3 linked regions of the Callithrix jacchus genome follow. The protein of the gene in region 3 interacts with the protein of the main gene of each other region in a pairwise test. Links are inferred from orthologs where the notes say so. Each region holds a gene or a part of one and is shown on either strand. Other genes may lie near its edges.

The links. The genes of interacting proteins can lie anywhere in the genome.
Region 1: the proteins of APIP (region 3) and NTAQ1 interact in binary tests that used the Homo sapiens proteins (3 or more experiments, as listed by UniProt). The two-hybrid records come from large-scale screens. The link is inferred for Callithrix jacchus from reciprocal best matches to the Homo sapiens genes APIP and NTAQ1.
Region 2: the proteins of APIP (region 3) and TNPO2 interact in binary tests that used the Homo sapiens proteins (3 or more experiments, as listed by UniProt). The two-hybrid records come from large-scale screens. The link is inferred for Callithrix jacchus from reciprocal best matches to the Homo sapiens genes APIP and TNPO2.

The regions. Positions count from the first base shown.
Region 1 is NC_133517.1:73,988,315-73,992,406, reverse strand, and holds the start of NTAQ1 (protein N-terminal glutamine amidohydrolase), read left to right. Parts: upstream 1-1,292; 5' UTR 1,293-1,400; coding exon 1,401-1,483; intron 1,484-4,092. UniProt on the Homo sapiens protein: Mediates the side-chain deamidation of N-terminal glutamine residues to glutamate, an important step in N-end rule pathway of protein degradation.
Region 2 is NC_133523.1:11,540,068-11,544,319, reverse strand, and holds the start of TNPO2 (transportin-2), read left to right. Parts: upstream 1-1,452; 5' UTR 1,453-2,236; coding exon 2,237-2,611; intron 2,612-4,158; coding exon 4,159-4,234; intron 4,235-4,252. UniProt on the Homo sapiens protein: Probably functions in nuclear protein import as nuclear transport receptor. Serves as receptor for nuclear localization signals (NLS) in cargo substrates.
Region 3 is NC_133511.1:100,238,247-100,241,746, forward strand, and holds part of APIP (methylthioribulose-1-phosphate dehydratase), read right to left. Parts: intron 2,265-3,500; coding exon 2,147-2,264; intron 1,825-2,146; coding exon 1,689-1,824; intron 1-1,688. UniProt on the Homo sapiens protein: Catalyzes the dehydration of methylthioribulose-1-phosphate (MTRu-1-P) into 2,3-diketo-5-methylthiopentyl-1-phosphate (DK-MTP-1-P).

The sequences.
Region 1 (4,092 bases), on a different chromosome or scaffold from region 3:
CTGGAAAAGACTGTATCTTTCCATCATATATGATGCTTAGTTTTGCTGGATACAAAATTCTTGGCTAATTATTTTGTTTGAAGAGACTAAAGATAGGGCCCCAATCCCTTCTAGCTTGCAGGGTTTCCCACTCATTTTAAAGGAGAAACGTTTACCAGAGTTGTTATTTAGCATAGAGGCTATGTGGAAGTTTGTATTAAGAGCTGAGAGGCAATAAAATTGGTAACTGACAGGAACTATGCTCGGTCTTTAGGATTTATCAGCTTTGAGACTCCTGAGACTGGAGAATCCGACTGTGGATAGCTAAAATCAATGTAACATCTCAGTTTTTATAATGAGAAGTGTACCCCCATTAGCTATCTATGCTCATTGCAAATATGAACAATTCAGAAGACTAAAGTGTAAAGTGAAAGTCCTTGAAACTTAAAGTCCCTGATATTAATACCATTCATTCACCAGAGATAAACACTATTTTAACAATATGATGTCTTTTCTTCCAGACTGCCAGTAATTGAACAAATATATGATTAACACATAAAGGATACCATATGAACTCTTTAAACTTCTAAAATTTACTGTATCAGGGAATTAATATACCTTTTCGAGCCAGTAGATATAGGTCTTCCAATTAAAAAAATTAAGTTACAATAGAGTGAGATTTGGGGTGCTATCCTTTTCGGAAAGCGTCCTCGATGAGGTCATATTTGGAATTACCCTTCACGCCCCACGTCTTCTCTGGGCTCCCGCGGACTCCAGGCTGAGTGCTGAATTGTGGATTTTCATACCCAAACCTCTGTTATTTCAGTATCTCACCTGGTTCCTCCACAGCGCAGAAGCGCATCCCAGGTTGGAAGAGCCTCTCCGGGGAGACTCAGCGAAGCGCTATTCAGGGCCCAACTCAAGCCCAAGCCTAGCTCCTCCTCAGGTCGTCGCCAGAGACCCCACTTCTCCCGAACCTCACCGGTACCCCGCCCCTGACTCCGCCCACCACAACACGCGGCCCCGCCCCTCCCCACCCCAGGCTCCACCCACCATCCGGGCTCCGCCTACCCGGAACCACGATGTCGTCCTTGTTCGGGGCTCCGTCCACTGGGAGCTCGCGCCACTCACCCCACCCCCGACCCGCCCATTTAGCTCGGGCTCCACCCTCCCAGGAACCTGCGCCGCTCGCCCCGAGCTCCGCCCACTTCGTCCCGGGATTCCCGCGCCGGGAACTCAGGCTGCTGGCCACGCCCCACCGCGCTCCTGGCCCCGCCACCCAGAAACTGCCCCGGCTGCCCCGCGCTCCGCTCATCCCGCCCTGGGTGCGCGTGCGGGCCGCTGCACGCCAGCCCCTTCCTTTGCTACGTCAGGTCCAGTCGGTCTTCCTGCGGCTGGGGCCCTGGCTGAGCTAGCCGGCCATGGAGGGTAATGGCCCCGCTGCCGCCCAGTACCAGCCGGCCAGCCCCCCGCGGGACGCCTGTGTCTACAGCAGCTGCTACTGGTGAGGAGACGCGGGCGCAGCCTCCGGGTTTCCCCGGCTCCTGGGCCGCGAGTCGCAACCGTGGCTTTCCTCTTCCCGGCCCCTTCTCGCGGGCGCTCCAGGCCTCGACCGGCGGGTTCTACAGTTTCTGCGGGAGGAGGGAGCAGGAATGGCAGCTCTCGTCTCTTGAGTAGAGCGTGGGCTATTGGATGGGGTTGGGAATTCTCCGGAATCATAGGGTCGTTAGTGCATTTCCTGTGCTTGGTGCTTGTGGGTTGGATTTGCTCTGCAGATCTCTGCTTGGGGGCAAGGCAGGGGTGGAGCTCTGAAAACCTTTGGAAGTTACTCTGCTGAAGCTTGTGGGGTTTAGGACTTAGGTGAAGGCTATTTTAATTTTGGAAGAGAATGGAGGCACAGAGAGTTTGGTGTAACTTGCCAAGGTCACCCAGCTAATAACCCTGAATCCAGTTCAGGCTCCCTGACGTCAGAAACCATGATCTTAACCGTGTTGTCATTATAATAATGGTTACATTTACACAGCGCTTGCTTTAGGCCACGCATTATTCTGGGTAGTTTGGGTAACATAAATCACTGAGCATCACAGTCACCCTAAGAGGTAGGTATTGTTATCCTCATTTTAAAAGATGAGAGCACTGAAGCACAGAGGGCTACAAGTAATTTGCGCAGGGCCACGTAGCTTGTGAATGAAGGAGTGGGAATTTACAGGCAGAGTCTGGCCCTGGAGTCCACGCATTGCATTTCTGTCCTAGGCCACCTCTGCAGCTGAAGCACCACCCCTGCCTTGGTACTTTTTGATTCCGATACCTGCTCTTGCCTGAGTAATGGCTTCTTCCCCAGCTTCCAGTCCTTGCACAGGAAACCTCAGGGCTCTCTAAAATTACTCCTCCCCTTTCTGCTGGTCACTAAACCAATGCCACCAAGAGCTTAGCATTTGTTTGGCCCTGATTGCATGTCAGGCTCAGTGCCAGGTGCTTCCATCGATGTGCAGGAGGTAAATTCTTTTATTATCATTATCTTCATTTTACTAATAAAAAGCCTGAGTCACAGAGAGGCTGTTGTGTGCCCCCAGATCATACATCTAGCAAGTGGTGGTGCTGAAACTGGAACCTCTTTGTGATTCTGAAGTTCATGTGTCTTAACTGTTGCACTGTTTTTCTGCCCTGCCTCTCTTCTAAATCCTTTTAGTTCTCCTCCCTAATGTCCATTCATTGTTTTATTCGTTCTTTCAATAAATGTTTGTTAGGCAGTTGGTAATATGTGGTACACTTCTGGGCACTGGGACTATAGCAGTGAACAAAATCGACAAATTCCCTCATGAAGTTCTTGTTATATTTTGATGAGAGAAAAGCAGACAAGGCCAGGTGTGGTTGCTTAGGCTTGTAATCCCAGCACTTTGGGAGGCAGAGGTGGGTGGATCACTTGAGGCCAGGAGTTTGAGACCAGCCTGGCCAACAAGCAAAAACCCTGCCTCTACTAAAAATACAAAAATTAGCTGGGCAGGGTGGTGGGTGCTGGTAATCCCAGCTACTTGGGAGGCTGAGGCAGGAGAATTGCTTGAATCCAGGAGGTGGAGGTTCCAGTGAGCCAGTGCCACTGCCTTCTATCCAGGGCAGCAGAGTGAGACTCCATCTCGAAACTAAACAAAAAACGACAAAAATGAGTAAGCAATGCTTGGGTGGTGGTAAGTGCTGTGAGAAAAATAAGATAAAGCATGGTGACTTATTTTCTATTACGATATTTTGAGAAGACATTGTTATCAGGTGATAACTTGAACAGAGATCTGAAGAAAGAGGGTGAGAGCTTTGCAACTTTTGAAGAATGGTTATTTAAGCAGGGAGGATAGCAGGTACAAAGGCTCTGAGAAGGAATCCTGCTGTGAGTATGATAGGAACAGCTCAGAGGCTGGTACAATTGGAGTACTGAAGTAAAGCAGTCTTGTAGAAGAATGGTAAGAGATGACCACTCTACCACAGGGTTTCTCAGCCTTGGCTCTAGTGACATTTTGAGCATGAAAATTCTTTGCTGTGGGGGCTGTCCTGTGTATTGCAGGATGTGTAGCAACATCCCTGGCCCCTACCCACTAGATGCTGTTACCACCCCAGCCCTAGATGTGACAACTGAAGATGTCTCCAGACATTGCTAAGTGTCCTGTAGGGGTTGGGGGGCAAAATCACCTCTTGCTGAGAACCAGTTCTCTACCCTGTCTGAACACATCAGGTAGGACACCACACTACTTCCTGCAGCTGTGTGTGTGTGTTTTAAGACAGTCTCAGTCTATCACCCATGCTGCAGTGCAGTGGCGCAACCTTGGCTCACTGCAACCTCCGCCTCTCCAGCTCAAGCCATTTTTCTGCCTTAGCCTCCCCAGTAGCTGGGACTACAGGTGCCCACCACCACGCCCAGATAATTTTTGTATTTTTAGTAGAGACGGGGTTCCACCACGTTGGCTGGGCTGGTCTTGAACTCCCAATCTCAGGTGATCCACCCATCCAAAGTGCTGGGTTTACAGGTGTGAGCCACGGTGCCCGGCCATCCTGCAGGTTTTTTAACTTGAAATGAATGCCTCCTGTTTACTTCTGGGTCAGTAGTGCCTTTCCTGTGCTTGGTGA
Region 2 (4,252 bases), on a different chromosome or scaffold from region 3:
CTTCAAGTGGCAAGAGGTCGCCCACTTTGTTATCGGCAGGCCAGGGAGGGGAAACCAGGACGTTCCAGGGTCTCCAACTCTTTCCCATCTGCTCCTCTTTCAAGAGAAGGAAAAACGGTGCCTTACTGTCTTCAGACATCGCAAGGATCACAAAGATTTCTTTCTTCATGACCCTGCCCTTGCCAGAATTTCCTAGGCTGTTCCACCTCATTCAGCTTCAGGTAGGGAAAGGGATTAGGCCTGGTTCAAAGTTTATTAGTTAATTTCGTTTTATTTAAAAATTGATATCCTTGTGGCTTTTTCATCTCCTTGTAAAAAACTGTCAAACAGTACTGGAAAATAATGCAAAACGTGGCGGAGGTTTCTGTAGGAACCCAGGTTGTCTCAAGCAGTTACTTTGTCCTGCCTGCTTTCCTTTGTCTCTGGGGTGTGAAGACCACGCTCAGCTCTTTCATTGCACTCACACCTTGCACTCACACAGCGTACTCCTCCCAAGTACCTCTGGATGGGGGAAGGGAGGCACATTTCAATTTTTTGTGGAGGAAGTGACAAGGAGGCAGCTGGTTCTGGCCGAGGGGTTCCTGAACCCATCACACACTGAAAGTCCCTACGCGCTACCAAACTCCTGGCTCCAGGTAAAAGAGCTTGCCGTCAGGTCAGCAGGAGATGCTGAGAAAACGAGACGTTGGGAGGACCGCCTGGCTAGAGAGGCCAAGGAGGCGGCAACTCTTTCGTCACGTGACCGGGCCTCGTCTCAGCCCGGGTTTCCCCAGTGCCAGGGCACGTGTGAAGGTTGGACCTTCCGATTGGCTCGGCGGGACCAGTTTGAACGGAGTACGGGAGCCGCGGCGGCTCACCTAAGGCCGCGTTTTTCTTTTTCTTTTTTTTCTTTTTTTTTTTTTTTTAATTCTCTCTCTTTGGCTCCCTCCTTTCGCGCGAGTCTCTGGAGAAGCCGCAGCGCGAGGCGCCGCCGCTGCTGCCCGGGGCCGGGTAAGTGGGCCTCACTGAGAGCCCGACCCTCTTGGCCCCAGCTTGCGTCGACCCCCGCCGGGCACCGGGCCTGCGCCGCGCGCGGCCCGGGCGTCGGGGCCGCGCCCGACCGGGAAAGGCCGGGAACCCGGTTGGGCCCGATCCTGTTGGCAGCGAGAACGGGCCGGGCGGGGGAGGGGGAAACCGAGCCGAGCTTGGGGGGTGGGGCCTCGGTGCCAGGCCAGGTCGGGGCTTCGCGAGAAGAGGGCCAGTGGGGCTGCTGGGGTCGGGCTGGAGGGGATCTGATTGGGGAAAGCGTCTGGGGACTGCTTGGGGCCTGATTGGGGGACGTCGCGAGGATCGGGTGTGTGTAGGGGCCTGTTTCGGTGGGCCTTGGTTGGGTCTGATTGGGGGAGGCCGCACTGAAAAGTTGAGCTGGGCTGGGGGAGGGGAGCTTTTGGGGCCCTGACAGGGAGGGGCGTCAGACTTCGGCTTAGAGGGTTTTCCTGGATCTGACTTCGAGGCATCGCTGGGATCGGTTGAGGGGAATGCCCCGGGGGGTGTTCACCCAGGCCAAACTGGGGGAGGCTGCTAGGATCGGACCAAGGGGTTACCGACTCGAGGTGGTGGGGGGCTCCCGACTCAAGGTGGTGGGGGCCTCGGTTGAACTTGATTGGGAGAGGCTGCAGATATCGTCAGCAGGAGTTACTGCTGACGGAGGCGGAGGGGGTTTCAGGGAGAGCTTGGCCAGACCTTATTGGGGAAGGCTACTGGGATCGTCCAGGGGGCTCCTAGAGTAGGTTGGGTGGGCTTGGCTGCCTCTCATTCGAAGAGGCAACGGAGACCTATCGGGGGACTGCTTTGGGCCTGATTAAGGGGGATTGTTAGAATCTGACTCGGGCACAGAGTGGGGTAGCTGGCATCCACTGAGCTTGAAGGGCCGGGACAGGGGAGGCAGAAGAGATCAGGACGATCGTCTTGGAACCGTGCATCTGAGGAAGCTCATAAATTGGACTAGGGCAGGCAGCCTCTGGGATCTGGTAGAGGTTAAGGGCCGGGTTTCTGGAGAAGGGGACTCTTCAGGGACTGTGCCTGCACCTAAGAGACCACGGGGGCCGGGGCGCTATCACGGTCTGGGGCGGGGCCCCTGGATGTGGAGGCGGATGGGCCCTCGCCCAGCCGCTGCGAGGGAGGCGGAAGCCTTCGGGCTCGGAGTCGGGGTCGGCGGTATGGGCCACCCTGGGACGAGGGCTCTTCGCTGGGTCCCATGAGGATCCGCCGGGCCCCACCGCCGCCGCCTGTAGTTCACTTCCACATCCCCCCTCCCGCGCTCCCGATCCCGCGACTGCGCGGCCGAGGATGGCGCAGCTGGCGGGGACCCCGCACTTTGGCGGGCGTGGATCGAAGGCCTCTGCCTGTCCGCCGAGGGCGTTCCCGTCGTCATGCGGCCACCGCGGCCTCAGGGTCTCCACCTGGGTCTCACACGGAGCCCCAGAGACCCAGCGCTGACCCCGGCCCCTACCCCCGCAGCTTGCCTTGCGCCATGGACTGGCAGCCAGACGAGCAGGGCCTGCAGCAGGTCCTGCAGCTGCTCAAAGACTCACAGTCGCCCAATACAGCCACTCAGCGCATCGTGCAGGATGTATCCTTCCTTCCTTCCGGGGCTGGGGGGACCGGGTAGATGTCTGCAGTTTCTGAAGGCCAGAGGGAGAAAGAGAGGGACAGACTCCCCGCCAGTCCCTAGATTTTTTTCTGCTGTGGGGTGGATCTGCCCCAGAGAAGAATTAGAATTCCTGGGTCCCATTTCCAGAGCTGCAGGGATTATTATCGAAAATGATGAAAATTCCTAATGTTCATTGAACACTAACATCTATTCCATTAACTATTAAGGTAGGACCTGGCCCAACAGCGTGGCTCATGCCAGTAATCAGAGCACTTCAGGAGGCTGAGACAGGTAGATTGCCTGAACCTAGGAGTTTGAGACCCCCCGTCTCCACAAAAAAATAGAAAAGTTAGTTGGGTGTGGTGGCATGCCCCAGGGGATGTTCCCTCTCCTATTTTGTAGGCTGAGGTGGGAGGATGGCTCGAGGCTAGGAACTGGAGGTTGCAGTGAGCTGAGATTGTCCCACTGTACTCCAGCCAGCCTGGGCAACAGAACCAGACCCTGTCTCAAAAAAAAAGATAAATATGCTTGGCGCGGTGGCTCATGCCTGTAATCCCAGCACTTTGGGAGACCTAGGCAAGCGGATCACCTGAGGTTGGGAGTTTGACACCAGCCTGACCAACATGGTGAAACCCCGTGTCTAGTAAAAATACAAAATTAGCCTGGTATGGTGGCTTGAGCCTGTAATCGTAGCTACTCTGGAGGCTGAGGCAGGAGAATTGCTTGAACCCAGGAGGCAGAGGTCGCGGTGAGCTGAGATCATGCCATCACACTCCAGCCTGGGCAACAAGAGCGAAACTCCATCTCAAAAAAAAAAAAAGATATATAAAGATAAAAATTTTAATTCTTGGCCAGGTGCGGTGGCTCACACCTGTAATCCCAGCACTTTGGGAGGCCAAGGCGGGCAGAACACCTGAGATCAGGAGTTTGAGACCAGCCTGACCAACATGGAGAAACCCTGTCTCTACTAAAAATACAAAAATTAAGCCAGGCATGGTGGCGAGTGCCTGTAATCCAAGCTAATCTGGAGGCTGAAACAGGAGAATCGTTTGAACCTGGGAGGTGGAGGTTGTAGTGAGCTGAGATCATGACATGGCACTCCAGCCTGGATGACAAAGCAAGACTGTCGCAAAAAACAAAAAAAATTAAATCTATAAACCGTGAGCATGACTCACCCTAAAATTTGGATTCCCTCTTTTTTTAAAACAAAGCAAAACAAAAAAGCACGGCCTGCTAGTGGGGAGAGCTGACTAGCAGCTGCCACTTTAAGTGGAGTGGGATTCTTCTTCTGTCTCCTGCTCTGACTGGGTCTTCCGGAGTGGATGGGAAACTCAGATATTCCACCCAACTCCTTGTATGAATTTGATGTTTCTGAGGTGCTCTGTGGGCTTATTAGGGGTTTGATGAGCGGGATCCCCCAGGAGCTGGCAGCCTGGTCCCAGGGGTCAGAGATGGTGTCACGTACATAGTGAGGGGCCTGGCCTGGGGAAGGCCTCTGTCTTCGAAGTCCCTTAACAGCCTGGCAGAAACTCAAACAACTCAACCAGTTTCCTGACTTCAACAACTACCTGATTTTCGTCCTGACCAGACTCAAGTCAGAAGGTATGCCCTCTGCTCCCT
Region 3 (3,500 bases):
TACTCACTACTGACTCACTGATTCACCTGGAACAATTTCCAGTCCTACAAGCTCCGTTTAGGGTAAGGGCCTTACACAGGTGTGCCACTTTTTATTGTTTACATCTTCTATGTTTAGATACACAAATACCTATCACTGCATTGCAACTGCCTACAGTACTTTGTACAGTAACCTGCTCTGCCGGCTAGTAGCCTAGAAGCAATAGGCTATAATATAGACTAAGTGTGTAGTAGGCTACAGTGTCTAGGTTTGTATATGCACACTCTGATGTTCACACAGTGATGAAATCACCTAGTGACAATTTCACAGAACATATCCCCATCATGAAGTGACATGTGACTGGGTAAAGTTGTTCTTTTTATAAAAGATTTTAAAAAATGCAGTAGGGAATTTTAAACTCCATCCTTTCTTACTTCATCCAGCTTTCATTGCCCTTCTTTTGATTAGACTTAGGATTCTCTTCAAATTCAGATAAAATAACACTGCCTCCTGAGCTGTGATAATGACTCTATTACTCATTTCCCAGCTAGGTCCAACAATATTGCAAAGGGCCAACATGCTTGGCCTCTCCACAAAATTGCAAAGGCTCTCTCTTATGTTCTCTTCCTCTACCTCACCTTTTCCCTCTTTTCAGAAAAACTAATTCTTCTAACCTATTTTTATTTCTTCACCAAAACAATAAAATTCATATGAAACTGATAACAACCATAAGCCCTCTTCTTCAGCCCCAGATATGGAAGAAGCAATCTGGGGCTCTACTTTCCTCAGTATGTACACTTCTCTTAATTTAAATATTTAACTTTTGTAAATAGGTGTTTCACAGTGCTGAGGAATGCTTTAAGCACACAATAAATATTAACTGAAATCAAATAAATTTCTCAGTGCACTAGTTTAAACATGTACATTCTATTACGTGCAGTAAGAATATGTTATCGCAGTAAGAACACTTTAGTAAAACTGGCAATGTTTTCCTCTAAACAAGGCAAGGTAGAATCAAGCCCTTTAGGAAATTAAGGGTGGAAGGTTCAGGAATGAGAATGCTAATAAACTCAAAAGAAATGCTTAGTTTGTCCCTGAACACTGAGAACATGTTTCCTCATGCCATTATGTTCTAGAATTATGAAGAATTACTACATTTTTGTGGGCTGGTGAATTTATTTTAACTCATCTAGAACGGTAATCTTCTATACTTACTATCCATATAGTAAGTATAAGACCTTTCACATTGAAAAATTCTAAAAATATAGAGACCTACTTTAATTAAAAAACTTATAAATATGGAAATATTTCAGAAATACTACATTAAATCGTCATGAAGTATAAACTTTAGTCACGGCTCACACTTTTGAAGACAAAGTAGAGGTGAAGAGATATCTGGGTGCCTCATTATAGGAACATAGTCTTTCCATCATGACAGAAATCTAAGCCAAGATTTTTTTCAGTTTACTTATACAAACATTTCATTATTCATACTGCTATTAATTTACCACGGCTGGGGTAGGGGTGGGAGAGCAGGGAAGACATCCCATTTGTGTCACGAGAATAGATCTGGAAGTATAATACTAAATGGAGCATTATTTAACACAGATCCCATGACAACTCATTATATGCATAAAATGATCAGTATTCTATTCGTCAAAGAGAAGGAAGAATTCTTTTCAAACTATTTAAGAAAAAGAAAAAAATACCTATAATACCCTCCGGAAGTACATTTCTTTATTCCTTTTATCATTTCTTGATGTGTAATTTTAAACTCATGTCCTGGAAAGAGAAGGGTGGCCATCACAGCAGCTTTAGAGTGGGTATGAATCACTGCACCTGCTCCTGAAGGAGGAAGAAGAAAGCCACATGTTCAATGAAGACTGAATTACAGCTTTTAAAGAAAAAAGTCCATATAGTTACACAAATATTTACATATGGTTATGGGATTATTTTTCCTGGCATGGAATAATAAGTTGGTGGTGGGCAGGAGGGTAAGTGGAATAATGGACCTTCCTCATGGGTTGATGTGAGCATCGAGTACGTTTATGCACTTCAAGTTCTTGCATATGGTAGGTATCTAAAATGTTAACTGAATAATAATGACCATTATTTAGAGGAGTCTACTCTGCAAATATTCTTTATGTTGAATACATTTTCTACATACCTCTCATTGTGTAAGCATTCATGAAAAGAGGAGTACACTGGCTTTTTTTTAGCTTCTTAGATGGCGAAGGTCCCCTTATGTCCTTTTCATTTATATCACAAACAAACATGTCTTCAGGCTATTTATAGAGGGAAAAAAAGAAGGCCATACAGTATCAATTAGAAATGCTCCTTTTCTTCTGTACATATATAAAAGAATACAAGAATTTATAGTATACACACTTGTGTATATATTTAGTGTACATATACACAGAGTGCTAATATATGTATATATTTAACTTACATTTTAAGTACATAATTATAGTTTCTCAAAATAATTTAGCAATTTTGAGACATAAAAAAGTGATTTCTACTTGGGAAAACATTCTCTAAAAAAATCTGAAGACAAAAAAATGATATGGAAAATTACTATGTATGTAATGATGCTACTGCTCAACTTTGCCCTATAATTTCACAACTATATTTCAGAGAGCCTACATAAAGAAGTTCCAAAGATGGGTGTTAAAATTTTTTCCCACATTTTATAAAATAAAAGCAAAATTTGAGAGTAAAATTTTCTAATCTTTGGAAAATTAGTACTTGGAAAGGTTAATCTCAGTAAGAATACTTGGAAAGGTTAATCTCAGTAAGATATATTTTTCTTAAAGTTTAAGAAATTATGTAGATCTACAGGTTTTTCTTTTTTTAAAAAAAGGGTTCAGGAGTATGTGTGCAGGTTTGTTACACAGGTAAACTGCATGTTACAAGAGTCTGGTATACAGATTATTTTGTCACCCATATAATCAGCATAATAACTGATAGCAGTTTTTCCATCCTCACCCTCCTCCCACCCTCCACCCTCAAGTAGGCCCCAGTGCCTACTGCTCCCTTCTTTGTGACCATGTTTACTCAGTGTTTAGCTCTCATCATAAGTGAGAATATGTGGTATTTGATTTTTCTGTTCCTACATTAATTCACTTAGAATAATGATTTCCAGCTCTACTCATATTGTTGCAAAGGATGTAATCTTATCCTCTGTGATGGCGGCATACTATTCCATGGTATATATGTACCACATTTTCTTTACCCAGTTTACTGTTGATGGGTATCTGATCCACAGGTTTTTCTTAGTAATGCATGTGTATTTCTGATTTGTAGCTTTCAGCTGCCAGAGTTTATTAAAAAACAGCATAAATGTTTTATTAACAAAGTAGCCTTTCTTTTTTCTTGTCTTAGAAGTTAAATAATTATGTGTTTGCTTTAACTAGATTTGGGGTATTATTGTGGCATTAACACAGAATGAGACCTCTCAAAATTTGAAACAAAGTTTCATAACTTAAAATTATAATAACTTTGGTATTATGAAATATGAATTT